Linked DNA regions of Callithrix jacchus. The protein of the gene in region 2 binds, or shares a complex with, the protein of the main gene of each other region. Links are inferred from orthologs where the notes say so. Each region holds a gene or a part of one and is shown on either strand. Other genes may lie near its edges. The genes, in order: SARNP, THOC1 and THOC7.

Evidence for each region.
Region 1: THOC1 (region 2) and SARNP share a complex: the UniProt entries of both Homo sapiens proteins name them as parts of the transcription/export (TREX) complex. The link is inferred for Callithrix jacchus from reciprocal best matches to the Homo sapiens genes THOC1 and SARNP.
Region 3: the proteins of THOC1 (region 2) and THOC7 are in contact, whole or in part, in a cryo-EM structure (PDB 7APK), measured with the Homo sapiens proteins. The link is inferred for Callithrix jacchus from reciprocal best matches to the Homo sapiens genes THOC1 and THOC7. Residues at the interface, in NP_005122.2 of Homo sapiens: Leu10, Arg14, Glu46, Gln53, Arg56, Glu60, Ile63, Ile64, Asp99, Asp102, Cys103, Leu104, Pro105, Arg146, Gln151; in NP_079351.2 of Homo sapiens: Tyr47, Gln51, Leu54, Ser55, Ser58, Gln59, Phe62, Gly65, Lys66, Leu69, Val70, Met73, Arg76, Glu77, Asn80, Ile84, Ile88.

Annotation. Positions count from the first base shown.
Region 1 is NC_133510.1:63,829,893-63,840,212, reverse strand, and holds the start of SARNP (SAP domain-containing ribonucleoprotein), read right to left. Parts: upstream 4,620-10,320; 5' UTR 4,607-4,619; coding exon of another isoform or gene 4,571-4,606; intron 2,543-4,570; 5' UTR 2,497-2,542; coding exon of another isoform or gene 2,490-2,496; exon of another isoform or gene 2,463-2,489; intron 1-2,462. Other genes in the region: ORMDL2 (ORM1-like protein 2), read left to right, coding at 5,868-6,041, 6,210-6,361, 7,109-7,244. UniProt on the Homo sapiens protein: Binds both single-stranded and double-stranded DNA with higher affinity for the single-stranded form. Specifically binds to scaffold/matrix attachment region DNA. Also binds single-stranded RNA. Enhances RNA unwinding activity of DDX39A.
Region 2 is NC_133514.1:63,801,564-63,811,783, reverse strand, and holds part of THOC1 (THO complex subunit 1), read right to left. Parts: intron 6,739-10,220; coding exon 6,638-6,738; intron 5,283-6,637; coding exon 5,216-5,282; intron 5,019-5,215; coding exon 4,968-5,018; intron 4,878-4,967; coding exon 4,807-4,877; intron 4,099-4,806; coding exon 3,982-4,098; intron 3,506-3,981; coding exon 3,440-3,505; intron 1-3,439. UniProt on the Homo sapiens protein: Component of the THO subcomplex of the TREX complex which is thought to couple mRNA transcription, processing and nuclear export, and which specifically associates with spliced mRNA and not with unspliced pre-mRNA.
Region 3 is NC_133516.1:45,607,790-45,618,009, forward strand, and holds the end of THOC7 (THO complex subunit 7), read right to left. Parts: intron 6,177-10,220; coding exon 6,059-6,176; intron 4,989-6,058; coding exon 4,861-4,988; intron 4,578-4,860; coding exon 4,491-4,577; intron 2,884-4,490; coding exon 2,826-2,883; intron 1,617-2,825; coding exon 1,550-1,616; intron 1,433-1,549; coding exon 1,363-1,432; intron 418-1,362; coding exon 350-417; 3' UTR 88-349; downstream 1-87. UniProt on the Homo sapiens protein: Component of the THO subcomplex of the TREX complex which is thought to couple mRNA transcription, processing and nuclear export, and which specifically associates with spliced mRNA and not with unspliced pre-mRNA.

The DNA.
Region 1 (10,320 bases), on a different chromosome or scaffold from region 2:
TCTAGTATTACCTTGGATACAAGGAAATAATCATGAGCAAAACAGAGTCCTTTCTCATACAGAGCTTACAATCTTGTAGGGAACAAGGCAATCAATGATCAGATCCATTTTTCGTATTTTCAAATGAGGATAATAGAGGTATTAACCTTATACGATTATTATGAGAATTAAACCAGTTAATGTATATAAATGGCTTCAAACAGTGTTTTGCCACATAATAAATGCTAAGTGTTAGTAATTAATGAAGATACCCATCCTGAAGAAATAAAATAAAAAAGGCTGCAGTAGTTGAAGTATGAGTAACTATCCTGAAGAGACTGGCAGGGATATAATTTAAGGGTTTTAAGCAAGGGAATGGCTTCTATAATAAACATCTAAGTGATGAAATCACTCCCGCAACAGATCCTATCTGCCAAGAAAACAAACTGATCACATCAAGTTCCTCCTTTCTTTTTTTTTTTTGAGACGGAGTTTCGCTCTTGTTACGCAGGCTGGAGTGCAATGGCGCGATCTCGGCTCACAGCAACCTCCGCCTCCTGGGTTCAGGCAATTCTCCTGCCTCAGCCTCCTGAGTAACTGGGATTACAGGCACGCGCCACCACGCCCAGCCAATTTTTTGTATTTTTAGTAGAGAAGGGATTTCACCATATTGATCAGGACGGTCTCGATCTGATGACCTCGTGATCCACCCACCTCGGCCTCCCAAAGTGCCGGGATTACAGGCGTGAGCCACTGCACCCGGCCCCTAAGTTCCTCCTTTCAAACTTCCAAAGGGTCCCAGCCCTACTTATCATTACATGACAAGGGTCAGAAATCCTTACACAACTTAGAAAGCCCTTTTCAATACCACTCTGATTTACCTTTATGGTTAGTTTACCTATTTTCCTTTCCAAACTATCTTCAACTACCAACATATTTACTCATTTTACTATTCAATACAAATGTCTCACTGTTTTCAGCACTCTGACATTACTACAGCTCTCCTCCCCTCTTCAATACTTTTTTTTTTCTGATATTTGACTGGAAATCTGATACTGTTACAGTTCAAGGCATTTTCACCCACAGTTCAATCTCTCTTTCCAATTGTGTTAGAATGGGCCAGGCACAGTGGCTCACACCTATAATCCAGAGGTCAGGAGTTTGAGACCAGCCGGGCCAACAACATGGTGAAACCCCATCTCTATTAAAAATACAAAAATTAGCTTGGCATGGAGGCACATGCCTATAATCCCAGCTACTAGGGAGGCTGAGGCACTAAACTTGGGAGGTGGAGGTTACAGTGAGCTGAGATCAAGCTACTGCACTCCAGCCTGGGCGACAGAGCAGGGCTCCATCTCAATTAAAAAAAAAGACTGGGTTTCTACAAAATTCTCAGGAATTTGCTGCTAAAATGATGTCATGTATCAATTCAGATACATGATACTATGTTTCCTTCCTACTTCAAAGCATATTCCATTCCTCTGAGGTTCCATACCAAAGCCCAAAATTCTCTTAATGACAATGGACAGATTTTTTTTCTTTTTCTTCTTTTTTTTTTGAGACAAGGTCTCCTTCTGTCACCCAGGCTGATGTGCAGCGGAGCAATCATCACACAGCTCACTGCAGCCTCAACCTCCCAGGTTCAAGTGATCCTCCCACCTTAGCTTTGCAAGGAGCTGGGACTACAGGTGTGCACCACTATGCCCAGCTAATTTTTTAATCTTTTGCAGAGACAGGGTCGCACTATTGTTACCTAAGCTAGTCTCGAACTCCTGGCCTCAGCCTCCCAAAATGTTGGGATGACAGGTGTCAGTCACTGCTCTGAAACTACAAGTGTGCGCCACCATGCCCAGCTAATTTTTTAATATTTTGTAGAGACAGGGTCTCACTATGTTGCCTAAGCTAGTCTCAAACTCCTGGCCTCAGCCTCCCAAAGTGCTGGGATTACAAGTATGGATCACTGCACCCAGCCAAGATTTTTTTTTAAAGGCAATAAAACCTCAAGTCAACCTAGAAGTCAGGATCATTACATCAAGATCACCAGTGGAACCAAACATAAACGTCCTAAATATCAGAATCAAAGGCATGAGTTCTTTTTTTCTTTTTGAGACAGAGTCTCACTGTCCGCCAGGCTGGAGAGCAGTGGCACAATCCAGGCTCATTGCAACCTCCACCCCGGGGCTCATGCGATTCTTGTGCCTCAGCCTTCCCAGTAGCTGGAACTACAGACACGCACTACCATGCCTGGCTAATTTTTGCATTTTGAGTAGAGGTGGGGTTTCGCCATGTTGCCCAGGCTGGTCTCCAACTCCTGGCCTCAAGCAATCCACCCATCTCAGTCTCCCAAAGTGCTAGGATTATAGGCATGAGCCACCATGCCTGGTCGAAGGCATGAGTTCTTAACCAGAGGTCCATGGACTCCTCAGGGCTACAAGGTAGTTTTATGAAGCCCCTCAAACTGCATGCAAAGTACGTGTACATGCCTTTTTCTGGCGAGAGAGGGTCCATACCTTTCATCAGAGTTTCAAAGATATCTGTGACCTCCAAAAGGTTAAGAAGTGCTCTAGAGAAAAAGCAAAGACAAGCAAATGTGATTAAAGAGTGAGTCCTTTTTAGGCTGTCAGGAGTGCCTAATGTTTTCTTAGACTGCAACACTGAAATCAGGTCAGAGGACTTTATGTAAAAGTTACTTATCCAGTCAAATACAAGTTTAATATAGATCTGACAAACACAGATTTGATGGAAGGAGGAACTCCATAAACAAACACAATTATAAAAACAAGTAAGTCATGGGGCAGCTGGTGACTTACTCCAGGGATTTCAAAAATAGGATAAATAGTGTGGTGGCTCATGCCTGTAATCCCAGAACTTCGGGAGGCCAAGGTGGGCATATCACAAGGTCAGGAGTTCGACACCAGCCTGGCCAATATGGTGAAACCCCATCTCACTAAAAATATAAAAATTAGCCAGGCATAGTAGCACATGCCTGTAGTCCCAGCCGCTCAGGAGGCTGAGGCAGGAGAATCGCTTGAACCTGGGAGGTGGAGGGAGCAGTGAGCTGAGACTCCACCACTGCACTCTCCAGCCTGGGCTACACAGTGAGACTTTGTCTCAAAAAAAAAAAAAAAAAAAAGACAAATAGAAAGAAAATATTAAGTCTTCTATGCATAGTTCCTTTTTGTCTCATTCAAAAATTCCTTTTCTATGTTTTATAATGGTACAGAAGCATACAATTTCTATAAGTACAGTATATATACACCAAGTGGAGATTATTGCTCAATTTTTCTTTTACTCATCACAATAATTATCAGGAAACCACTGATAGTCTATGCATTTCAGTACCACCAAGTTAACAATAACTTGAGAATAACACAAAAACCCACTAAACAGAGTTTAGAATCCAAGAGTAAGAAAAATATCAGCTTTCACAGAAAGACTAATAGGGGTCAACTAATAAGTGACTAAACAAAGGTCCTCTCCCTACCCTTAAGCTTTCTTAACAACAAAAACAAACAAAAAAACACTTCAAGCTTTAAAGGATCACTTTTCAGTTTCAGCTGTATCAGCCTGGTTTGTCCAAAACATCCAATAGGAAATCTACCTGTGAAACCACAGAGAATTAATCAAGATTAGTTTACCCTAAAAGAAAATACTCTTTGAAATTTTCTTTTTAATATATTTTTTAACTTTTTTATCTCTCTTAGTTGTTTGCAATCTACCTTAAATAAATACTCTCTCTTTCAGGAAAATAATAATCCAAGTATGAGAAAACTACCAAGATTCTCATAAGACAATTTAAAATAGCTTCTGTGATTCAGTGTCACCCAATGGTAAAACACCAGGAGATGCAGAGCCCATTGAGATATGAAATGGAACAGAGATAATCTTAACCTTGGAACTGTTTTTCCCAAATACTGCAGGTATGAATTCTCTCTGGTGGTAGGAGACGGTGTGTGAGGAAGGCTGGCAAGTGGAGAACCGCGTGAGAGAACTGGAAAACTTTTAAATCTGAGGTGTCTGTACTTCTATCTCAAGGCCTCCTCAACCCCAGGCTTCTAAGGTGAGGCCTTTCCCTGGTTTCAAAATTCTCCCTGGTGGCGTAATCCCACCTAGAAAAGGGGAGTGTCTGGGATCTATTCAAATAGCGACACACAAAAATGCCACCATCTGCTAATATAATAGGCGAGTCTCAGCTTCAGAAGACAGACTGGAAACATAATTCCAGGGAAGAAAAAGGGATCCTGGGTCCGACGTGGGGCAAAGAGGAGGGACCAACTGACGTAATGCAGACCAGAAGAGCAACGAGGAGTATAACAGGTAGAAGGCACTTACAACCTGGTGGACAAGGGTGACGGACGATACAAGGATGAAGGGAACAGAAATAACAAAAAAATATAGCAGTAAAACCGTGAGGAGAAATGGAAAATTAGGGAAGGCGTAGTGTGGAAGGGTGGCACAAAAGAGCTACGGCGGGAGCCAAGAAACAAAGTAGAAAAGGCTGCAAGGAGAACACGTAGGAGAAGACGCAAGTCACTGTGCAGAATTCAGTTCCCAGAAAAGTCCAACTGAGCCCTTCCCCGATTTACGGTACCTTCAGCTTATGGAGCTCCACCGTCTCGGTCGCCATCTTGTTACCCCTCACTCCGCTAAGCCCCCACCCGCTGCCTCCGCCTCCAGGAGCTCCCGCCTTAGGCGTAGAGATGCAAGGCTGACCAATCGTTGCCACTCTTGCTCCCACTACATACCATCAGCTCTTCCCATTGGTCAATAGCTGACGTCCCTCATGTCTCTCGGCAGCTTTCCCCACCTCTTTCAAAAGGGGGGACAGAGAGAGGGGCGGGCACTTATCTTACGAACGACAGAAATGGCAACCAATTGTGCGTCTGCATCACATATCACCAACCGCTGATTATGTTCCTCCAATAGGGAAGGGGCAGACGGAGAGGAGTCACTTCCTGGAGACTTCAGATGTGGTAGCCGGCGCCTCGCCCATAAGCAGACAGGGATCTGAAGCTGGCAGGTAGGGGCCGCGAGGACTAGAAAGGTTGCTAAGGAAATATGGTGGGAGGCGAAAGGGGCGCCGAGGAAGCGGTGACTTAAATGCTGAGAAACGAATGCTGAAGGGAGCCCTGAAAAAAACCGACGAACATGAGAGGAGGAAGCTGGGAGGGAATGGGGCGGGCTTAAGGAACTGGCGGGTGGCTGGGGCGGGCAAGAGCCGCTTCCTAACCAGACATCATCAGCTTTAGAGCTACCACAATTTTAAAGATCCGAGTTCAGTTGATCACTGCCGCCCCTGGAGTCAGAGCTAAGGCTCCATCTCTCGAAACGTTGAGCTCAGGTTCCTTCCTAACCCAGTCCAGAAGGCGTGGGCAAGTTGTTGTCGTGCCCCACGCTTGAGAGAAGCAGTGGGGATGCTGACTGCTGACATGCCACGGAGGTGAGACAGGGTGGACAAGCCCCAGAGAACAGGTTGGGACTAGAGCTTTACTCTGTCATCCCTTCTTAGTGGTTCTTTGATGATTCCATGACTTTCTCCTGGAATTCTGGGTGTGCGTGACCTCTTCATGGTTAACTTCTTCAGGAAAGTGAGATTTCCTGTTTCCCTTGCTCCCTGAAGTGAGTGCCCCAAGCCTACGCATACACCTTCATGTTACAGTTGAAACGTAAAGATCAGTGAGAAAATGACTATGTCTCTAAAATGTAGTGAGGATTCTTCTTGCCTTTTAAAGTTTTCCCCAAGTCTTCAGTTTTTATTTTCTGCGTGATGGGGAAGTTCTTCATTCCCAATAGAGTTCAGGGAATCTGAGAGACAGCTGGGAGAAAGCTCGAAGAGGGGCTGAGAAAAAAATGAGTTGGACCCTACCTGATCCCCCATTATGACTAGGATGAATGTGGGGGTGGCACACAGCGAAGTAAACCCCAACACTCGAGTGATGAATAGCCGAGGCATCTGGCTGGCCTACGTCATCTTGGTAGGACTGCTACATATGGTTCTACTCAGCATCCCTTTCTTCAGCATTCCTGTTGTCTGGACCCTGACCAACGTCATCCACAACCTGGTGAGCAGTAAACCATGCCCTTGTGCCCATCCCAGAGTTTCCCAACCACAAGCAAAATAAAATTACTAATTGTTTGGGGATTTGTATCTTCCTTTTGGGATCTTAACATCATTCTTGGACTGAAGAACTACTTTCTGCCCCTCACACTACCACCCTCCATGTTCCCAGGCTATGTATATCTTCCTTCATACGGTGAAAGGGACACCCTTTGAGACTCCTGACCAAGGAAAGGCTCGGCTACTGACACACTGGGAACAAATGGACTATGGGCTCCAGTTTACCTCTTCTCGCAAGTTCCTGAGCATCTCTCCTATTGTGCTGTGAGTCTATGAGGGAAATGGGGATATGCTGGGTTAGAAAGAGTTCCAAGAGCCAGGCAGAAAGGCCCATAGGGAAGCTGTTAAAAAGCAGGCTACCCATCTAAAACCCTTTGAAGATATTATGATATACTAGTTCTAAGCCTACAGAGAGCAATAAAATGTAGAAGACAATACTGTAATCAAGCATTCCTTACTGCCTCCTTGGTAGTAAGGAAATGAAGGGACTAAGATAAGAGCCAAGTAAAACCAAATGATTTTACACTGCCAAAAGAAGCAAATAAAGGCAGAACTGATATTAATCTTCAAAAACACTGTAGGGAGTGGAAGCAAAGAAGACTCTTAACAGTCACACAGACTGAACTAGCCTCAGCTGTCATTTGCCATGTCATTAACAATGAACAGAAACTGACTTATAGTCTCCAGTTAAAGGTACTATGAACCCCAGAGTAAACGCTATTGATATAGCTGGAATATTTTTAAGATAATTTAGGACTACATACAATAAAACTGGTCATTTTAAATAGAAGAGAAAGAACAGGGCACTGCAGTGCATGCCTGGAGTCCCAACTACTTAGGAGGCTATGGCAGAAAGATTGTTTAAGCCCAGGAGTTTGAGGTTGTACTGCACTTATCACATTTATGAATGGCCACTGCACTACAACCTGGGAAACATAGTGAGAACTGCCTCTTAAAAAAAAACATATAGAGAAGGCTACCCTCACTCACCCTATGTTTTTCTCTCCCCAGCTATCTCCTGGCCAGCTTCTATACCAAGTATGATGCTGCACACTTCCTCATCAACACAGCCTCATTGCTCAGTGTACTGCTGCCAAAGTTGCCCCAGTTCCATGGGGTTCGTGTCTTCGGCATCAATAAATACTGAGGGATGGGTTTTGGGACAGCTCCATGGGCATGGGGAAGGCACTGAAACAGAGGAGTATAAAAAAAATCTTTCTCTTCTCCATACCATCTTCTACATCTTGAAAGCCTGAGAACTATGCAACCTTTCCCAGACTCCCAAGAAAAGAAGAGATTGGCAAATGGGACTCCTAGGTCCAGTCCTGTTAGCGGCAAGTTTCTTTACCGGGTGAGGTAAGGGCCAGATCACTCTCCTCCATAGCAGGAAGCCATTTGGGCAGTTTGTTTGGTGATTACATCTTTCCATATCTTCTGCACCTACTACCTTCCAGCTCTGTTTTGCTGTGTATTTTTCTTCTAATAATTTTTTTCAGCTATGCCTGCAGTTTAATCAGCAGGAAGGGTAGAGAGCTGTCCTCATAAGGCTGGCGGGGACGGGGGAAGATGGAATACTGACCTAAAGTAAAAAACTTAAAGCAATTCTCCAATCCCCTCTACTTTGGTCCAGTAAGAGGTGCTCTTCACTCTGAGCTTAACACTTAGTAGGGAACAGATTCTCAAATGAGAAAAAGGGCTCCAGCTGTATGGGCAAAAAAGAGGGAAGATACAGGTTGCCAGTTATACATTTATAGAAAGATAATCCCCTGGCTTTAAATAGATATGTACATACAAATATGAACAAACTTAAAAAAAATACAAACCCTTGGATAACAAGGGGGGTTTCTGGGAACCCCCGTATCCTTCCCCCTCACCCAAGGGCAGTGGGCATGAATCAACTTTTTAAAAATGATTAATTTTGGCCATCCTTGCAGAAAACAGCCTGAAATTGGGTGATTGACCCACAAAGTGAAAGTTGAGGGAAAATTCAGTTTCCACTCTCTGAACTCTCTATCTCCTGTCATTAGGGCTACATGCTTTCTTGTTCTGTCTTTTAACTATTATATCAGGGAAAAGGAGAGGACTCCCTCCTGAAACGTGTCAGGAAAGAAGATAGACTTGTACCTTTAAAGGGCAGGAAAAAGTGTCATCTGCTCTAAAAGCAAACGACAAGACAAGGCATACAGACCCCAAGGAAATACCCAGTTCCCACACCTCAAAGGGATACACTGTCCAGCCCAGGTCCAGGCCCTAGGTTCTTTACTCTAGCTACCCCCTATTTCTTTGGTATCGTCAAAAGACAAGATTCAGGCTGGGTGCAGTAGCTCATGCCTGTAATCTAGCACTTTGGGAGGCCAAGATGGGTGGATCACCTGAGCTCAGGAGTTCGAGACCAGCCTGGGCAACATGGTAAAACACCGTCTCTACTGAAAATTAAAAAAAAAAAAATTAGCCTGGCCAGGCATGGGGTGCACACCTATAATCTAGCTACTTGGGAGGCTGAGATGGGACAATTGCTTGAACCCAGGAGATGGAAGTTGCAGTGAGCTGAGATTGTGCCACTGCACTCCAGCTGGGCAACAAAGCAAGACTCCGTGTCAAAAAAAAAAAAAAGAAAGATTCAGTTCCTGGGTGCTGGGGGAGGAGGGACAAATCAAACTCCATCCTGTGCTGTATACATCCTTTTGACTCCCTGACATTGATTTGAGGAAAGAGAAGGGATTTCAGCGTTGGAAGGGCCTCCTCAGTTTCTTCCGCCGCTTCGTTTTGGCTTCTCCCTTGGGTACTGTGCTGTTGGGCTTAGAGGCTGCAGTGGCTCCAGGGGCAGGCTGAGGAGCTGCAAAGAAGTTCCCATTGGGCATCTGCCCTGGGGGTGCTTGAAAGATCCGGCTCAAGAAATCCTGGAGATCAGCAGGAGGAGCATCTGGGGTAGCTCTGCGATAAAACAGAAGAAATGATAAGGCAAGAGATGTTAGAGTTATATGGTTACCTAAGTTAGATATACTTATCAGTTCCCAAACTTCCTAGAAAACAAGTCCCCTAGATTTCCTAAAGTAGGTCATCTGAAACCATATTCAAAACTGAAATAGTTGATAGATTATTGATAGAAATACCACCTACCTCTGCCGCCCACTGGTGCCTGGAATCCGAGAACCAAATGAGATGTGATAGGGAACTCTGTGGGTATCTGGGGAGATACCTACACGCTGGCATCCAGCCCACTCTATAAACATGAGAAATAACCAAAACTTTGCAGTTTAGATCACATAAAAGATCAGGAAGTATGAGGCTGTATTTCTAGAGGACAGAAGAGTACCTGTGATGTCATACACCTTTCCATCCATCACTGCAAAGTAGGTGATCTTGAGACCCAACATGCTCGACTCTGCCCAGAAGTCTCCTTCCTCAGCAGGATGTAGCCTATTACATTTAGCACAGTATCTGGCATTCTTAGGTTCCCGGTCCATTTCAAACCTCCTGCAACCAACGAAAGGATAGTTGCTTAATTTGTCAAGCCTACCTAGAGCATTGCTAGTAGTCTCATCATTATTCACAAATAGGGCTCAAACAACTAAAATTACCTCCACTTAGTTATTTCATATGCCTTCAATGTTCTATCTTAAAGCTACTTTTTCTTAGTGCTAATTCAATTTGTCAGTCTCTTGACAATATGACAAAGGTAGAAACTTAAGGGTCTTTTTACTATGAGATACAGATGTAATTCTGGGAAGATCTTTGGTTACTTAATGCCTAAGCCGTGATTGTCCCATCCCTCTCCTATTTTATACCTATGCTTTCCTTGGCATCGGCTACACATCATAGTATTCATTGCCTCCTTGAGGTCATCTTGCAGCTTGGACAGAAACTCATTTACTGACCGGCTCAGCTCATTCTCTGCCATTCGTTTCCTAAGAGAAGAAACGCTTTATAAGTCAGAAGGTATTGAGGGAAGGACAAAGGGAAACGCATCAGTTGGCCTCTTGAGGCCCCTGTCTAGCTAGAAAGACAAGTGACTTCAGTTCTCTCCACCTCAAAGAGCCTCCATCCCCAAGTCCACATGCCTCTCCTATTGAAGATTTTTCATTTACCATTACCTGACAATTTCCCATCTCCAACTTACATCTCATATTCCTTTCGCTTTTCAGCATTGCTGACAATGTCCCAAGCTGCTCGCAAAACCTTGAAGGCCTCCTCAGCCCGGGGATGATGATTTTTGTCAGGAT
Region 2 (10,220 bases):
TAGAAGAATCGTATATATAAGTAAGGCTAATATTTCACAAAAGTATATTTCCTATTTCATTAAGAAAATGCTAGTTGAAATTACTAAATTGATGCTACAAACCACCAGTAATTCTCAAACTTAATTTTTAAAAACACTATTCTGATCAATACACCTACTAGTGGGGCACAGACATCTCTAATATTCAGATAGAGTGGCTGTAACATCAGACTCCTACAGCAGCACTGGCAAATTATTTTTATTCACAATTCTTACAGAATCTGGGTATTTTTTTTTTTTGAGACGGAGTTTTGCTCGTTACCCAGGCTGGAGTGCAATGGCGCGATCTCAGCTCACCGCAACCTCCGCCTCCCGGGTTCAGGCAATAATCCTGCCTCAGCCTCCCGAGTAGCTGGGATTACAGGCACGCGCCACCATGCCCAGCTAATTTTTTGTATTTTTAGTAGAGACAGGGTTTCACCATGTTGACCAGGATGGTCTCGATCTCTCGACCTCGTGATCCACCCGCCTTGGCCTCCCAAAGTGCTGGGATTACAGGCTTGAGCCACCGCGCCCAGCCCTTACTTTCTACTTTCTATGAGTTTACTTCTCTTCTGAGTGACTCTCATTGCTAGACTCTTACTTAGCTTGGTTTTCAGATTTCATTCTTTTTGAAAGTGTAAAACAAGGCTATACATTTCTCTTCTGTGTTCTGTGTTCTAGATCTCAAAGTCTGAACATGTAGTGTTTTCATTGTCATTTAGCACTAGATTTTCTAATTTCCATTATGATTCTTCTTTGATTCAAGGGTTATTTAGAAGTGTGTTTAAAGAAAATTAAAGTATTTTTGCTTTTGCTATTCCCATATCATTTACATAAACTTGTGATTTCTGTAAGACGCAGCCTGTTAAATTTAAATTATTTTGTTAAATTCTAAATGTATTAACACCAAATTTTTTCTACCAAATTTATTAAATTCTGTGAAAGGTCTGTCAAAATTCTACTAGATGGTGGGTCTTCTGGGTGGTGGATGGTTAAAACTGACCCTAGGTCAACTTCTCATTCTAATTCTGTCAAGGTTTTGAGAATATATTCTTGGAAAATAAAGTTTAGAATGTATATATTTCTATTTTTTCCTTTTATCTTTAGGCAATGATTGCCTTTATTTTTAATAATGCTTTCCACTTTTAAGCCTTTTCTGCCTGATATCAATATAACTATGCCTTTAAAAAATATCTTTTAAAAATTATTTGTTTCAACCTTTCTACATCTTTATTTTTAAAGTATATTTCTTATAAACATATAGATGGATCTTTAAAATATAACACCAATTTCTGTCTTTGAGCCAGAGAGTCCATTTCCATTTATATTTAAATTTAACCATACTGTTTTGTACTTTGTTGTTTTCTGTGCTTTTCTCCTCTCCTACTTGCTTAATTTTACTTGCTTAAATTTTCTGTATTTACCTTTTTTAACCCCTCAATTTATTTAAAAATTACATATTCCATTTATCTCACATACTTTTCAAGCATGCTTGACTTAAACCCTAACATTTTAAAATTCTGACTACTCCTTTTTGTCTTAACATGTCACCTTTAGCAAGTTTACCTTTTAAAATAACCCCAAATAATAATTATTACTATTTCATACAGTGAATTCTTGATAAGATTTCTTCATGTTTACCAAAGTGTTTACATAGTAATCCTCTCCATAATTTACTCCTTTCTGGGTTCAGTTTCCTTAAGACAGCTTTCTTACTAGGGACTGTTGATAATTTCTCACAGTTTTAGTCAATTACTCAGTCAACTACACCTGTTTAACTTGTTACAGAATTTGGAGTTGAAATGTTGAAAAAGCAAGTAATAATTCTAGAAATGAGAAAATATAGTCCTTGAATTTACAAAATGGGCAGATTTAATAACAGACTAGACATAGGTAAAGTAAGAATTAATGGATTAATTAATAATTAAGAAATCACCCAGAAAGCAATACAGAAGGAGCAAGAGTTGGAAATGATGAGTTAATGATAGTTAAGGAGGTCCAACAAACATCTAATGGCAAAAAGAAGTAATAGAGCATGGGAAAGACATTTTTAAGCACTCATCCCACTGTCTTCTGATTTCTTTTGTTGTTCTTGAAGTCAACTGTTAGTTTAACTTTGTTCCTTTGTAGGTTTTTTTGGTTGTTGACTTCATGTACAGAGATACGGATTTACTTGGTTTATCCTCCTTAAGTATTACATTTCTTGATCCTATGAATTCAAGCCTATCTTCAATCATTAACTCAATTCTGCCTCTTTCACATTATCTATTACTTCTCTCTGCCATTAGATGTTTGCTGGACCTCCTCAACTATCATTAAGTCATTGTTTCTAACTCTGCTCCTTCTGTATTGCTTTCTGGGTGAGTTCTTATTCATGTATTGACCCATTAATTCTTACATTACCTGTGTCTAGACTGCTATTAAACCTGTCCATTTTGCTATATTTTCTCGTTTTTAGAAGTATTACTTGTTTTTCAAATTTGCCTTGTCCTTTTTGATAGTGTCATGTCCCTGTGTTTTCAATTCCTTCTTATTTTAATTTTCTGAAATATACTTATTTTACACCCTTTATCTTATGATTTTATTATCTAAAGTGGCCAACTTCTGTTGCTTGTTCTGTCTGCCAATTCTTGCTCATGGTGGACTGTTTCCCTGAGAGTTTTTAAAGTTTGGATGGTGAATTTATCTTTGGGTTTTATTTTTTTTAATAACCTTGTGAATATAACTTTAGATATTTATCTGTGGGAATCTTGTTTAGTTTGGGTTGAAGATTGGACCTTCAGAAAGATTTTTATTGCCAGCATGGGACTTTCTAGCTCACTATCTTAGCTTGAGGTAGGATTTTTCCTACTGCTGGTAGGAAAAATTTAAACTGTTAACACTGCCTGAGAGCAGACTTATGGTTACAATTTCTCAGGGAATACTTTCCCTGTCACCTACACCTTGGTAAAGGCAGATAAGCTTCCTTGTTTCCTGTGCCAGTGAGCGTGCCCCCACCCTGCCCTTCTTTTACAGATGTGTAGTGCTTCAAAAATTTCAGCTTTGTTCAGGGGAAAACTTGCTCACAAATTTGTGCAGGCCTAAGGCCTTTCTGTCCTTTCTGTGATTATTAAAACCCAAGTTCCCTGGTTCTCAAAGCTTGGAATCATTAGTGTTGCTCCCACAGAACCGTATCAGTTCATAGGCTTACTCTTCTATTTGTTTTGATTCCTTTTGTGAATCTTTATTTTTTTGTATTTCTAAAATTATTTTATCAGAACTTCTAGGTGTTTTATGGTGGGAAGCTATATTCTACTGTGCCAAAGTCAACCACAAAAAACTTAAATTTTGTTTGAGCTCTTTTCATAGCTGAGAAAAGGTTCCATTCTACTCAGCACTTGACAAAAGCAACACTTCATGTGAAAAATGTTCAACTTGCCTTGTTTCTGATTTGCAGGCTTCCATATTATCAGGACAAAGATTCCAAAGCCTTGTTAACTCCTCACTACAAAACAGATACACAAATAAATACATTTTTTATGGACACCATCCTCATGTGCCTTGAAACTGAATAGAAAAACAATACAATGCAAACAACAGATTTGGGATGTTGATAGTATGAGTTTTACTTTTCTCAATGATTTCTGGTATTTACAATACCTAAAATTATTCTCTATATAAGCATATTATTATCTATTATAATTCTGACTAATAATGATATAATCTTTAGGTTGTTTCCTAAAAATATTCAAGCATAATATAAAGCAATGAATTTGAATTTTAACTGGAAGGTAAGAGAACTCAAGGATTATGATATCTTGCAGCAACTAGAAGTGAGCTGCATCAGTCTAAACAATTCTACTGTCTGTGAAATGGAAAAAAGTGGCATAGCCATTTGATGTTAAGAGATGGAGAATTCTTACAGTAACATCTTTAAAATACAAAAATAAGAACATCCCACATAAAGGCAAGTTCACCTACTTTCCCATCAGAATTTTTTTGCTGGGTCCTTTCCCTAGGAAATCCTCGGGTGCTGTTCTCTTCCGAATTATTCTCGTAGGTTTGGTATCTGATGTTCTGTGGTGAACAAAACATACACTATTTTTTGAATTACAAATGGATAGCAGAAATAGAAGAATGTTTAATGTAAAAGAAAATTTAGTTATTGTTTTCCTCCTAAAAAAGATGAAAACTGGCTGGGCACAGTGGCTTACACCTATAATCCCAGCACTTTGGAAGGCTGAGGTGGGTGGATCACCTGAGTTCAGGAGTTCAAGACCAGCCTAGACAACATGTAAAACCCTGTCTCTACTAAAAATACAAAAATCAGCTAGCCATGGTGGTGCATGCCTGCAATCCCAGCTACTCATGAGGCTGAGGCATGAGAATTGCTTGAACCTGGGAAGTGGAGGTTACAGTGAGCCAAGATCGCACCACTGCACTCCAGCCTGGGTGACAGAGCGAGATTCCCATCTCAAAACAAAAGATGAAAACTTCATGTTTCTGATAGAACAATTATCAGAAATAAGACAAAAATGCCACATTATAGGGCAAATTACACAGAATATATATACAGTCTTCTCAATAATTTATATAGATGTTTGCTCTAGGAACTTAATGACAAGAAGTTTTTGAGGTTAAAAAAAATACAAACAGAGGTACATCAAAGTGATTGTACTCTTACAGAGTTCAACTTACATTTTTTATATGAAATATATATACATATCTTTACATGCTATAATCATATCAAAGCATACTTTGAAAAGCCTTTCTTATATATAGTTCTTGTGATGAGTATGTATTTACCTTTCTTTCACAAAACTTGGGCAACCTTCATTTTTCCATGAGTTCCAGTTTTCTTCAGTGTTTAATATATGCTGGGAAAAACAAATTCTATTTTGGTTAATGGAATCCTCTGAAATTCTCTTTCGTGCTAAAAAGAGGATGTAAACATAAAAATCACATACCTCTACCATCTTTGAAAATCTTTCTCCATCGGGGGGGTTTTCAGATAGTAGCTGTGATTAGAAAGAATATACTAAGCTTTCAACAACTTTCTGCATCATAGGAGTGGTTTGTAGGCAGAGAACCAAGGAGTGTTTGTGGTCTTGTACCTGAGCTTAACTTTATCCTTATTTTCCTATTTGGGGCTGAAACAAAGAAAATTCTAAATTTCCATTTTTTCAATCATGGGTTTGTTGCGTGTTGAACTTACTTGATAAACTGATTTTGTAGTATCTTCAATCCAAAGTGATTGTTCATCAGTTAAAACATAGTTTGAACTAGGGAACAAAGCAATGAAAGCATGCTTGAGTTAGAGCAATGCATATTCAATTTTAAGGTTTAAAAAACAGAAGGCATGTAACATGTAATATGCTGTGGATAGTGTCAAACATTACCAAGATAAACATAGTCACAAATGAGAGGATTATAAGAGAAAATTCTTGCATTTATTCCTCAAGAAGTTGGTACTGAAAACATAAAAGCATGTGCAGGAGAATAAAACATTCAATTAATCCATCAGATTAGCTATGAACAGAGCAATAAATGTTTCCTAAAATAAGCTGAATGTGAAATGAAAACCTCTGATTTGATATTAAGATATTTGTATACATAATGCACATTCAGTCTGGCATGCTACATTCCTTTAAGATACATTCAAAATACAACAAATAAAAACACCCAAACCCTAGGAAAGGTAACAGGCAAACCCATATTGTTACCAGCTGCCATTAATTGAGAACTCATTATGCACTAGTGATTTAAAGCCATCCTATAAATATTGATAGCTGGGATCTGAACACTTTACATGCATTATTCACTGAATTCTCAGAACAAATACAAGTACGTATTAAACAGACTATGGTGGCTCAATGATTTGCTCAAGGCCATAAAGCTTTAATTCAAACCTAGGTCTGACTCCAAAGTCCTTGATCTTTCTACTATGCCACACCAAACATCCAAAATAGATAGGATAAGAAATAACATTTTTTGAGTGTTTACCATGTGCTAGTACCTTAAAATTACAAGTGTGAAAGAGCTGTACTACAGCCAGCAAATGATAAGCCTAGGATGCAAACCCAGCAGGTAGTAAAGTCATTATATAACTAATACTGCATTGCTCAGTGTCCTTAACACAAATACTGTCAAGTAATAGTGAGCTGTACTTTCATTTATGGACAAGACAGAAGGATATGGATGGAGGGATTTAGACAGCAGACAGTCTAATGAGGTTTTGTGAAACTCCGAAGAAATGAACTCCTTTTGCTTAAAGATTTCCTTTGCATCTTTTAGCTCAAATGTCCTACACAGCTCCACACCTTATGAGACATGTATTACTGGTTTAGTCTGCAAATCAGCTTTGGAGGCGGTCTGAGGGAGGTGAGAAGGGAATGATGAAGTTTGGACTCGAGAACTCCTGGTAAGCCCTGGAGTTGGGCAGGAAAAACTCACACTGACAAGACATATTTAACATCTTTTCCTTAAACAAATATCGTAACTAAAAGCCTTCAATAATCAGCTGCAATACATGTGTTTTAGGGATGCAGCCCTTATACATGAAACGTCCGTTTCATAAGCAAGTCCTTTTTTTTCTTGGCTACTGTTTACAAATTGTTTACTACCCATTTTATCTTACCTTTTGAATTTGACCTGCCCCTTGAGATATTGGAATAAAATGAGATACTGCAACAGGATGTGTCGACGAAAGTTACTGTCACTCAGTTGTAAATCCATCAGCTACTCAAGAAACAAGCAAACACATACAAAAACAACACATTAAAATCAAGTTTTGCCTGATGGAACAAAATATGCTACTATAGAAATGGAAGATTCCAATTCAATTTAAAAAACATTTTTTGAGAGTTCACTGCATGGGAGGCATTACCACACAAGCCCACAGACAGCCCAGTCAAGGTTTCATTTTGATTTCTTGACTGTTTTATGCCATGATGTATTCATGTTGGTATAACAATGCTCTATCTGTGGTCCTGACATGAGGATAAAATAAGGCAAAAATATAAAAAAGTAAGCTAGGCATGGTGGCACAAGCCTGTTAGGAAGCTGAGGAGGAGGATCACTTGAGCCCAGGAGTTTGAGATCAGCCTGAGCAACATAGCAGGACTCTAAATTTAACAAATAAATAAATAAATAAAATTAAAAAGTAAAACCGAGGCTACTACTTTCCTACATACGAAGGAAGAAATAATGGCTAAAGAAGGCATGGATAATAGCACAATATCAAGGGGTACCACTCATTTTTGCAGCCCTACAAAGTGCCTGCAACAGAGGCAACTAATCATCCCTGATTAGATGGGCTTTGCTTTTAGCTTTTAATGAAAATTGCATCATACTTGTATTATCACAGAATCTGGATTAGAAAGGAACCTGAAAGCCATTGGGGAAGTTCTTCAGCGACCCTGCCATCCAGCTCTAAGAATAATCTCCAGTGTTGAAGGAAGGTCATTCTGATTATGCACATGGAGCACTGAACGGAAGCTAGTCTATATCCACATTCTCATGCTAGTTCTGCCTTCGAAAACTACAGCAACAAAGGAAAGCCACATTCTTCTAAATGAAAAACCAGTAAGGCAGTTGGAAGCGTCAGTGACTGGTTTTTGGTTCAATGTCCCAAGTTCCGCTGGCTCTGCTTTACATGGTTTGGTACCACCTACTAATGCCACCTAACACACACAAGCCTTCTTATTCACTGGCAACCCCTTCCACACTTCAGCTCCAGGTCTTTAAAGAAAATAATTAATGATCAGCCTTCCAGTCAAGTTTCCCTCAGTTTTAAGGATTGAATATATTTGATTGTTATTTATATTAGCTCTCCTATCCCAAATTGGTGATGTGAATGACCGGCTATCAACCTTCCCTTCCTCCAGGCTCTGGGCAACTGGACTGTCTCCACTTAGGCTGTTAGTTCCTTGCCCTCAACTCCACAAACAGGCATATCTCTCTGCTCCAGCTACCCACTACTGTGGCCACAGCTAGGCCTGGGGTCACTCACAGCTGCCCCAGATCTGAAGTCTTTAACTCACAATCCTATCTCACCACAGCCTCCATCCTTCCCAGTCTCTTGCTCAGTTGCTCCCAATATACCTAACACTTGGATCTTAATGAGACTTTAAGGCCCCTAACCCATCTATTCTCTGCCTATCTATTAGTCCCATCCTATTTTAGTCTAAAGAGTTAGCAAACTTTTTCCTAAAGTGTCAAATAATAAATATTTTAATTAAGGTTATGTGGGCTAAGAGGCATATTATGGATACCATGTAGGTATTTAAAAATCTAAAATGTGGCCGGGTGTGGTGGCTCACACCTGTAATCCCAGCACTTTGGGAGGCCGAGGCGGGTGGATCACTAGGACGAAAGATCGAGACCATCCTGGACAACATGGTGAAATCCCGTCTCTACTAAAAATACAAAAAATTAGCTGGGCATGGTGACATGTGGCTGTAACTCAGGAGGCTGAGGCAGGAGAACTGCCTGAACCCAGGAGGCGGAGGTTGCGGTGAGCCAAGATCGCGCCATTGCACTCCAGCCTGGGTAACAAGAACAAAACTCCGTCTCAAAAAAAAAGAAAAAATCTAAAATGTAAGGGGGAAAAAAAAATCCCAAAACCACCAAAAAAAATCAATACAGATGGTGGGCCAGATTTGGCCTGTAGGCTATATATATAGTCTGCCAACTCCTGGTCTAGACTACAACAAATCAGCTGGGCGTGGTGGTGTTCGCCTGTAGTCCCAGCTAATCTGGAGGCTGAGGCAGGAGAATTGCTTAAACCTGGGAGGCGAAGGTTGCAGTGACCAAGATCGTGCCACTGCACTCCAGTGTGGGTAGCAAGATTTTGTCCAGGAGGGAGGGGGAGAACAAGTGTTTTTGTCAAGATCAGCAATGACTTATTTGTTGTTTTGAATCCTGTGAACACTCTTTATTGACCTCATCCTACTTGATATGCTTGGCTTCTGTAAGTCCATGCTTTTCTAGTTTTTCCTCTAATCTCACTGGTTACTCTTCAATCTTCTGCTCTTCTCCATTCTCCCTTATCCATGAGTTTTCTCCAGGATTTGATTCAATATTTTCTTCTCAATCTACACTCTCCCCACTAGCTCATTTCATACACTCTACAGTTTGAATTACCATTTATAAACTGGTAACTCCTACAACTATACTCTCAACCTAGATCTTGTTCCTAATCTCCAGATTTGTATACTCAACAAGCTATTACACATTTCTACTTCAGTGTTCAACTCACACTCGATCAGATTTCATGAACAAAGTAAAACATATCAGTTTCCTCCACAAAAGCTGTTCTCCAGTGTCAGCTAATTAAATGAGAAGCTCCAATATCGAGCAAATTCAGGAAGGCTTCCTGAAGAAAGCAGCATCTAAACTCTCAACAAGGAATAAAGATAAAGGTGGAGAGTTGGGGTAGTGGGGTGGGGGAGCAAGAAGGGGAGCCAAATAAGAGACTGACCTATTTGAAGGACCACAGTACACAGTTCAATACATCTGGAGTAGAGATGTGAACCCCTGGCTTAAAGAGATGAACCAAAGTGGCTAGGCAATGCTTACTAGGTCTTCATTTTATTTTTGTTGAAAAATTTTTCTTAATAGAAACAATGGATTGAAAATAGGAGTCGACAAGACCCTGAATAAGGGGTGGAAAGGATCTAATGTGATTCAAGCTAACTGCTTCACATTATACTTAAGGAAACTAGGTCCAGAAAAGTTAAAACTACCTATACAAGGTTACACAGCTAGTGTCAGAGCTAAGAGTAAAACTAACACACTCAATTGTACCCTTTCTTTCATAATACATACTATCTAGTTCCACTTTTCTTTGGTTATTTAAAAAATTATACCATTTACACTATGTCATACGTCAAACATTTCATTATTATTATTTTTAGAGACAGGGTCTCACTCTGCTCTCAGGTTGGAGTGCGATGGCACCATCATAGCTCACTGCAGCCTTGAAATTGGGGACTCAAGCAATTCCCTCGCCTCAGCCTCCTGAGTAGCTAGGACCACAGACATATGTCACAATGCCTAGCTAATTTTTTTCTTTTAATTTTTTTGTAAAGCAAGAGTCTCACTTTGTTGCCCAGGCTGTTGTGAACTCCTGGCTTTAAGCAATCCTCCAGTCTTGGCCTTACAAAGTGTTGGGATTACAGGCATAGGCCATCATGCCTGGCCCAAATGTTTCTTTGTAA
Region 3 (10,220 bases), on a different chromosome or scaffold from region 2:
CAACTTCTAACAATCTTCAACTTATTTTGTAAACCAATCAATGTAACCAGTTAAAAACTACCTAGAATATTAACGAGCACAAACATATCCAGCTTAAAAGCATTTTATTAAGCATATTTCGATGTTGCTTCCTACCTTTTAAGAATAAAAAATGCCTTTTAATAAAAAAATCTATACTAAAGTCATTTTCCTTTGTGTAAGGAAATATGAATGAAATGTACATTCATATTTCAAAACAGCATATGGTACTGCCAAAACTTTAAATATCTCAAGAGCACACCACATTTTAAACACATTATGTTCATGCAGCTATTTCAATATTCCTGGGAATGGTGGGCAATTAGCCTATCTATGGCTTAGGATCTGTTTCCATGCTTGCGTCCTGAGCTTCTTCTACCTCTGAGAGTTTTTCATCATCTGTAATTGAGAAGGAAACATAAAAGCTTAGTCGAGTTTGCCTACATTTTATATTTAATGAACATATGAAAACATGTTTATCCTTTATTAACCAATACAATTAAAGCAAAGATGGCTACTAATTGAATCAAACTGTAAAATTTATGTGATAGATTTCACTTAAAAAAAAAATCTAGGCAGGTGTGGTGGCTCAAGCCTGTAATCCCAGCACTTTGGGAGGCCAAGGCAGGTGGATGACCTGAAGTCAGGAGGTTGAGACCAGCCTGGCCAACATGGTAAAACCCCATCTCTACTAAAAAAACAAAAATTAGCTGGCTATGATGGCATGTGCCTATAATTCCAGCTACTCGGGAGGCTGAGGCATGAGAATCACTTGAACCCGCGAGGTTGGGATTGCAGTGAGCCAAGACTGCACCACTGTACTCCAGCCTGGATGACAGAGCACGATTGCCTTAAAAAAAAAAAAAAAAAAAAAATGGGTCTTAGGCTGTTCTTGAAAAACAATCAGAAGGTCAGGTAACATAGAATTTCCAGCTGTCTACAGGGATATAAAGAGCAAGTCTCCAGTTCCCTAAAGCACCCAGCACTCAGTGGGTATGCAAATATTCTTAGGTACTGATTGCTTATTATTGCCTGCCTGGGTCCTGAGTTGTTACCTTATAGTAATCTACTACAGTGAACCAAGAAAAACTCCAAATCTATCATCCTTCAATTTTTCTTAATTTAAACCACTAGATATATCTTTAAATCCTGTATTAGTACAAATTAAGACTTTTCTATACATATTCAAGAAAGTTGAACATGAGTATCTTCTAATGTCATCCAGCTATACTGTTAAGAAATTGAAGGCATATTCTCTCTCCAAGATACATATTTCAAAAGGAACATCCCTGACTCATTTAAAAAATCTTCATAAACATTTATTTTGAGACTATTTCTACTTACTTTCCAATGTTTGCTGAAGTTCATGGATGGTACTAAGAAGAACATGAAACTGTTTCCGTCTCAATTCCAGCTGTGTTAACAAGAAAAAAATTTATACAAATGATGATCTATATATATATAGATATATATGATGATCTATTTATAGATAGACAGATAAATCACAAAGGCTAAATATCTATGCAAATACCTTATCTTCGACACTTTCTTTAATATGTGAAAGATGCTCTAATTCTTTTCCCAGAGCTTCTAGTTCCCTGGAAATAATAAAACAGTGTTACATTTTGCTGAATGGGGCAAAAAATTTACAATTAATAACTAACTTATTAGTTACTAGATAGAATTTTTAAAATAAAATTGAAAAAAAAACTTATAAGGAGTTATAACACTCCATTATGGTGAGACTTTTAAAAATGATTTCTTCTTAACTTTTAAATATGGACTTACTTTAATTAAAATTACACTTTCTGATAAATTTTTAAAGTACAGAAAAATACAGATAATAGAATAACAAGACCCAAGAAATGATACATATTGTAGAGCTTAACTTCAAGGGTCTTTTTTTTGTAAAAGAAATAAAACATTGCCAATTAACTTGAAATACCCTTTGAACCTTACCCCTAGTCCTCTATCCTGGGCCTTTTTATCTCCTCTACCTCCCACTCAGGCAACCACTATATCATTCTAATCCATTTTTACACATATACCTGTATCACTGAATAATATACAGTATTGGTATATAATATTTGAAAGGGGGTTCTAACTTTTATAAATTGTTATTATTCTATATGTGTTTCAGAAATTTAATAATAATTTTAAATTTATTATGTTTTTTCACTGATTATGTTTTGAGGAGTGTGTTTGAACAGTACAAAACTAGTTTATTCTTTTTTTTTTTTTTGAGACGGAGTTTCGCTCTTGTTACCCAGGCTGGAGTGCAATGGCGTGATCTCAGCTCACCGCAACCTCCGCCTCTTGGGTTCAGGCAATTCTCCCATCTCAGCCTCCCAAGTAGCTGGGATTACAGGCACGCGCCACTGTGCCCAGCTAATTTTTTTGTATTTTTAGTAGAGACGGGGTTTCACCATGTTGACCAGGATGGTCTCGATTTCTCGACCTCATGATTCCCCCGCCTCAGCCTCCCAAAATGCTGGTATCACAGGCGTGAGCCACCGCGCCCGGCCTAGTTTATTCTTTTTAACTGATATTTAATATTTTAATATATGAAGACCACATTTTATTTGTCCACTCTATTTGTCCATATTACATGCATTTATTTTAGACATATAGGTGGTAAGGTCAGAGGAAAATAAAATCTAACAGAGAAGTATTGGGAAATATAATATCGAAGACCTGAACCCTCCTTTTGAAACATATTTATTTCTGCAAAAATGAAATGCCTAGGGTAGTGTATCAGCATTTATGTATAAAGGTTAGTTCCTTTCAAAGTAAAGCTCTACACTTACTTTAATGTCTCATGCCTGTCTGGATGATGCTGGATCACTTTTGCCAAAGCATCATATTCTGAAAGACATAAAAATGTTTATCAAACTAAGGGCTTATCAAAACAAAATGTGTAATATCACAAGCCTCTCCTAACCACTTCCCTAGTACATCAAGAAATGAAATCATTGAAAGATGAGTATTGCCAGTTCTAGTTGACTGAGTTATAACTATAATGACACATAACATCAAAAGTGTTCTAAACAGGGATTTTAGCTCCCTAAACTTCAGCACTTTTTTTCCATTTATATGTTCTGGACAGAACATAAGAGGTCAGCATAAAAATAAGTGAACTTAAGTTATTACTGATTATCAAATAGACTGATTCTGAGAAGGATCTTACTCACTAGTTGTCCAAAAAAAAAAAGAAGAAAATCAGTGAATATATCCATCCATTAATTTGAGATGTTAGTCAACAGCAAATTACACTTCTCACTCATTCTAAAAGTTAAGATTTCAGAAACTTACAAATAACTTAAAATTCAAGTTCTACTTTCTGCTCCACTGAGACCTCCAAGATAAGTCATGTAACTCCTGTTAACCTTTCTTCTGAAGTGATGAATGACAAGATTTACTTAAAAGTCTCATTAACTAACAAAAACACTGCAAAATATTTTTAAATGACTTTAGAACTGATACTAAGTTGGTATATCTTACTGTAAATAGGGCACTAAAACTTCACCACACACATTTTAGACTGAAAAAATAAACTTTTAAAAAGAGGAAATTAATCTTCATCTTAACTAGTTAATTAAAAAGTACAATTCATTGTTTTAGAACTGATGCTATTAATTCAATAAAAGTATGATTTTTTTAAATACAATTTTTTTGAATTACAAAAGAATACATGTCCTGTGTAAAATAAAACAAAACAAAACCAGAGAAAACCTAAGCCATAAAAACCCACCACTTCAAAATAACCACTAACATTTTCTATTTTCTTCTAGTTTTTCCTATCAGTGTAACAGTTGTGATTATAAATTATGATTTTTATTTTTGCTTTTCTTCAATTTATATTATAGGAGTAGTGCCTCTAACATTAAAAATTATCTGGAAACAGCATTTAGGAACTACATAAGAACATACTCTAACTTAACAAGAGATTATAACAAAACTCAACTTTAACTTTCTTATTAGATATTCTAGATAGTCTATAAATATTTGCTTGCTTCATAGTTAATGAAAACTCACAGAGTTTAAATTCTTTTTCATTCATTTTTTGGAAAGTAGCTCTATTAAGCAAACAAACAAAAAAACCCAAATCATATATCTAGTGTATTTATGTAAATTGCCTCTGCTGATTAACTATTACATTATTTAGGCAAAAAGCTCCAAGATGGTAAAAATTTAATGCTTAAGAAATACTGGGAAAAGAAAAAAACAAAAGGAGAAAAACAGAAAAGAAATACTTGGATAATCAGTGTAATCCAGCAAAAACATTTTTTTCAACACAGACTTCTTTCTCTATTTTAAAGAATAACATAGTTTTAAAGAATTAAATTTGGATAATTTTTAAAAATCCAGGTTGATTCAGGCTGCTGAAGATTTTTCCTCACAACATTAAAAATTGCATGAAAATAGTAGTCAGTAATAAAGTATTTGCATATTAAATCCCTCAAAACTCTTACCTTGGCGATTTTTTCGTATTCGTTTTGCTTGAAGAATTTGCTTTTTGCACTCAGCAATTTTTTCATGTGCTCCAGCAATGCTACATTCTATATAAGAAGGTTTTAAAACTTAGTTGTAACAATATCAATAATCCATGTTCAATTTTAAAATGCATTTATAAATTAAATTCTATTGCTAACAAAATAGACACTAGTATTAAAGTACCATATATTAGAATGCATATTTTTGTAGCTAACATTTGCTGTATTCTTTCTATTAATACTGTAATTATTATTCTTTTACCACCAACCAAAGAAAATTGTTAGCAGATATTGTTTCCTTTATACCATACAAAATAAAATTACAGATAGAAACATTAATATTCTTTACCTATTTCCTTGTAAATTTTTTCATAATTTTCCATTTCTCTGAGATTCATATCATATACTAGTAAAGTTTTGCCCATTGAAAATTCACATTGAGACAGTGTGCTCAGCATACGCTGGTACTGGCTATATCTAATGAGAAAGAGAGAAAACCAAAATAAAGATGTTTGTAGACTGACAAAACTGAACTATTATAATGCAGGCAAATATTTGCTAATTAAATAAGTTCTTTGAGAGTCATTTGCTTATTTAAAATAATTCAGAATATCTGTTCCTTAAGTTTTCTTTTTATCAAATGTAGCACACCTGAATTTATAAACTAGTTACACATGCAAAGATGAGACTGTTGTTCTTATCAGTGTATGCTTTATTCAAATAATTATTTGCATTTTGTTTAAAATACATTATGAATTTTTTATCTTCACAATTCTGTCTCCAGAATTTACTCTATAAAATTATTTATGTGAAAAGCAAAGTTTACTATATATATATATATATATATATATATATATATATACACACACACACACACACACACAAATACATACATACAGTTGGGCATGGTAGCTCATGCCTGTAATTCTGGCATTTTAGGAAGTCAAGGTGGGCAGATTACTTGAAGCCAGGAGTTCAACATCAGCCTGGCCAACATGGTGAAATCCCATCTCTACTAAAAATACAAAAATTAGTCAGGCATGGTGGTGCATGCCTATAATCCCAGCAACTCGGGAGGCTGAGGCACTTGTACTGCTTGAACCTGAGAGGCAGAGGTTGCAGTGAGCTGAGACTGCACAATGGCACTCCAGCCTCAGCAATAGAATGAGACTCTGCGTCAAAAAAAAAAAAGATTTTGTGTGTGTGTGTGTGTATGTATCAAGTTGGTGCAAAACTTAAAGATATTGGCAAAAACCATGATTACTTTTGTGCCAACTTACTACATACATATACTTATTAAACACTTATATCCTAATGGGTCTGAATTTAATCTTCATTTCTCCTTACCAATCTGCCTTCTCTATGTTTATTAAACATATGGGAGGCCTCTGAAGAAAAGAAAAGGCCAAGAAAATCTACTCTTAATTAAGAGTTGACTCCACTGGACATTTAAGGTGAATAAAAATTTGATCTATTCACAGGACCTTAATGTATGGTCTAAAATCACATTAGGACATGGGTATAGAAACAACAGTGAAATAAAATACCCTTCTTCCTGGGACCCAGAGTTGCACCATTTAATGAAACTCTTCACTAGCAGATTAATTCTCCGATCATCTCCAGCACCATCTCCATCAATGAGGAGACGCTTCCGTATGACTTCGTCTGCAGGAAAGAAGAGCAATGCTACCATCTGGCTCTTGGTAACTTTCAAATACAAATAACCAATATCACTGTTCAATTGTTTATTCAAAAGAAAATTATTGAAATGCAAATGTATTTAATGCCACTGAACTGTACACTTAAAAATGGCTAGCTAAAATGGTAAATTTTATGTTATGCATGTTTTATATTGCATATAATAAAAATATTTATATAGTAATGGAAAAAAACGTTATTGCATGACTACCGTGTGTCAGGTACTGTTCTAGGGGCTGAAATAATAGCAGTGAAAAGACATCCTTACAGAGTTGGCAGTCTACTGGGTTGTTGAGTGGAAATAATTTTCAGATACAATCAAGGAAATAAGCCAATAATTCTTAGAAAACTTTTGTGAAACAATTTGCCCAGACAGACAGAAATCCAAATATTTATGTCTCTGGCCAGTGAAAGGCACTGATAAAATGAATAGACAAGAAATATTTAAAAGATGTAGTGGCAAACTAGGAAAAAAGAATAGGTCAGGGAAAAAGGAATGAATTTGTTAAATAAACATATAATTTAAGGCTGGGTGTGGTGGCTCATGCCTGTAACCTCAACAGTTTGGGAGGCTGAGGTAGGAGTATCACTTGAGCCAAGGAGTTCCAGACCAGCCTTAGCAACACAGTAAGACTCTGACTCTACAAAAAACAAAAATCAGCTGGATGTGGTGGCACGTGCCTATTAGGCCCAGTAACTTGGGAGGTTGAGGAAGGAGGATCACTTGAGCCTAGGAGATCAAGGCTGCAGTGAGGCATGATCTCACCACTGCACTCCAGCGCCTATAGGCAACAAAGCAAGATGCTGTTTCCAAAACAAATACTATATATATCATATATTATAAATATATAAACATATTATATATTTATATTATAATTTACAAATATTTATATTATTTTATATATAACATATATTATTTACTATATAATACATTATTTATATAATATATTATTTATACAAATATAAATATGTATAATATAATGCATATTATATATAATACATACATATTATATACATGTATTATATATATACATATTATATACATATGTATGTATTACATATATATTTAGTTATCTGTAAGGTTTCTTTCCCCATGAGAATTTTTTTTAAACAATACTTTTGCCCCAAGGAAAAGAAAAAAAAAAAAGCAGTGTAGATGACAATGATGACCAACAAGTGAGGTCCCAATCTATCTGCCTGGCAGTCCTGAGCTAGTGTTCTTACCCAGACGAAATAATCCTGGATCATAACAAGAGCAAGGCAAATTAAAACCACAGTAAAATATAATTTTTCACCTAATAGATAAGCAAAAATCAAAACATCTGATAAAACTGTTGGGAAAGGTGTTAGAAAACTGCACTTTTTTTTTTTAAAACAGTCTTACTCTGTCGCCCAGGGTAGAGTGGCTCAGGGTAGAGTGCAGTGGCACGATCTCAGCTCACTGCTACTACTACCTCTTGGGTTCAAGCAATTCTCCGGCCTCAGCCTCCCCAGTAGCTGGAACTACAGGCGCCTGACACCATGCCCAACTAAGTTTTGTATTTTTAGTAGAGATGGGGTTTTACCATATTGGCCAGGCTGGTCTTGAACTCCTGACCTTGCAATCTGCCCACCTCAGCCTCCCCAAGTGCTGGGATTACAAGTGTGAGCTACCGTGCCCAGCCAGAAAACTGTACTTTTATATACTGGTAAAATATAAACTGGTAATTCTTTGTAGGGCCACTGAACAGTAACAAAATTAAAAACGCACATATCTTCCTGACCCTTAATTCCAATTCTAGAAATTTTCCTATATTTTCACCCATGCACAAAGACAGAAATAAAGGGGTTCTTAGTGGTCCTGTTTGTAGTAGAAAGATTGAAAACCTATTCATCAATAAGAAACTGGTTAAATGATAAAACATTCACATAATATAATAGTATGAGCCAAAAAAAATAGTGCAGATATATATACTGATACCAGAAAACTCTCCTTAGATGTTAGGTAAAATGAAAACAAAACAGGCGCAGAGAAGCATATACAATATGTTGCCATATGTGCGAAAAAAGGAGTGTGTGCATGTGCATGTGTGTATTCAGAGACTATCCTTGGATGGATCCTCAAGAAACTTGTAATAGTGTTTATTTCTAATAAAACGGACTACAGATAGAGGTGGGAAAAGATATAATTTGCCTGCATGTCTTAGTAGAACTTGGGGATTTCTCTCTCTTTTTTTTTTACAGTATGCATTCGTTATTTTATAAAATACTGTATTATTATTTTTGGAGATGGAGTCTCACTCTGTCGCCAGGCTGGAGTGCAGTGGCGTGACCTCGGCTCACTGCAGTCTCCGCCTTCTGTATTCAAGTGATTCCCCTGCCTCTGCTTCCCAAGTAGCTGGGACTACAGGCACGCACCACCAGGTCTGGCTAATTTTTTGTATCTTAGTAAAGATGTATCTTCACCATGTTGGCCAGGATGGTCTCCATCTCCTGACCTCATGATCTGCCTGCCTTGGACTCCCAAAGTGCTGGGATTACAGGCGTGAGCCACTGTGCCCAGCCTCATTATTTTTAAAAAATAAATTTTAAAGTGTGAATAATTCCTAGAGAGCCTGCATATTGAAATAACAGCAAAATCTTTAAACAATAGTTCCTGTGTGTAGGCAGAAGTATTTTTGAGCACAGGTGCAGTGGAGATAAACTTTGGAAGGCAGATGGCTCCAGTTTTAAAATATATTCTGAGATAACATCAAATAAGCATTTTTAGAATTGGGTTTGGTTCTCAGAGTCATGGCTTTGGCAGACTGCTCAAGCTACATATTCATCAAGTGTTTTACTTTTACATTATAAAAATACAAACTAATGCTTTCAGTTTTTTAATCACCAACAATATTATATGAAGAGATTGAGACAAATAAAACAGTCCTGGATGGGCGCAGGGGCTTATGCCTGATCCCAGCACTTTGCGAGTCCAACCAAGGCAGGCAGATCACGAGGCCAGGAGTTCGAGACCAGCCTGGCCAACATGGTGAAACCCCGTCTATACTAAAAATACAAAAAAATTAGTTGGGCATGGTGGCAAATGCCTGTAATCCTGGCTACACGGGGGGCTGAGACAGGAGAATTGCTTGAACCCAGGAGGCGGATGGTGCGGTGAGCAGAGATCGTGCCATTGCACTCCAGCCTGGGCGACAGAGCAAGATTCCATCTCAAAAATGAAACAAAACAAAACAAAACAAAAAAACAGTCCTTGAAGAGATTAAAATGCAGAAAATAAATATTAATAGAATTTTCTTACTACAAGCATTTTAACTTTATTAAAAGGAAGCATCTAGTGGGTGAATCTGGTGGCACTGGTGCTATTCAACAGTTCCTTTGCTAGTCTTATCTGTGTTCCTCCTCTCAAGTCTCCAAGAAAATACCATTTTCTTCCTATATGCCTAGACCTCCAACTATATTGACAACTGGGGATTTCAAATGTAAATGGATTCATGTAATAGGCAAACAACATCTGAGGCAAACTGGGGAGTGAGTGCCCTGACTGAGAGGAAATATATTAACAGATCTAAGAGATTAAAGTTTGATGCTATGGTTTGAATATCCCCTCCAAAACTCATGTCAATATTTAACTGCCATTAAAATGACCTGAACAGACACTTCTCAAAAGAAGACATACAAATGGCCAACAGGTATACGAAAAAATTCTCAGCATTACTAATCAGGGAAATGCAAATCAAAACCACAGTGATACTGCCTCACTCCACTGAGAGAGGCTACTAGCAAAAAGGTAAACAATAATAAGTGTTAGTGAGGATGTGAAGAAAGCAGAACTCTTATATACCATTGGTGAGAATGTAAACTAGTACAGCTATTAATGGGAAAACGATGGAGAGTCCTCAAAAAACCGAAAATATAAGCTGGAGAATTCACAACCTAAGTGTCCACACATCAATGAGTGAATGAAGAAAATGTAGTATCTATACATCATGGAATACTACTCAGACATAAAAAGGAATGAAATAATTGGGC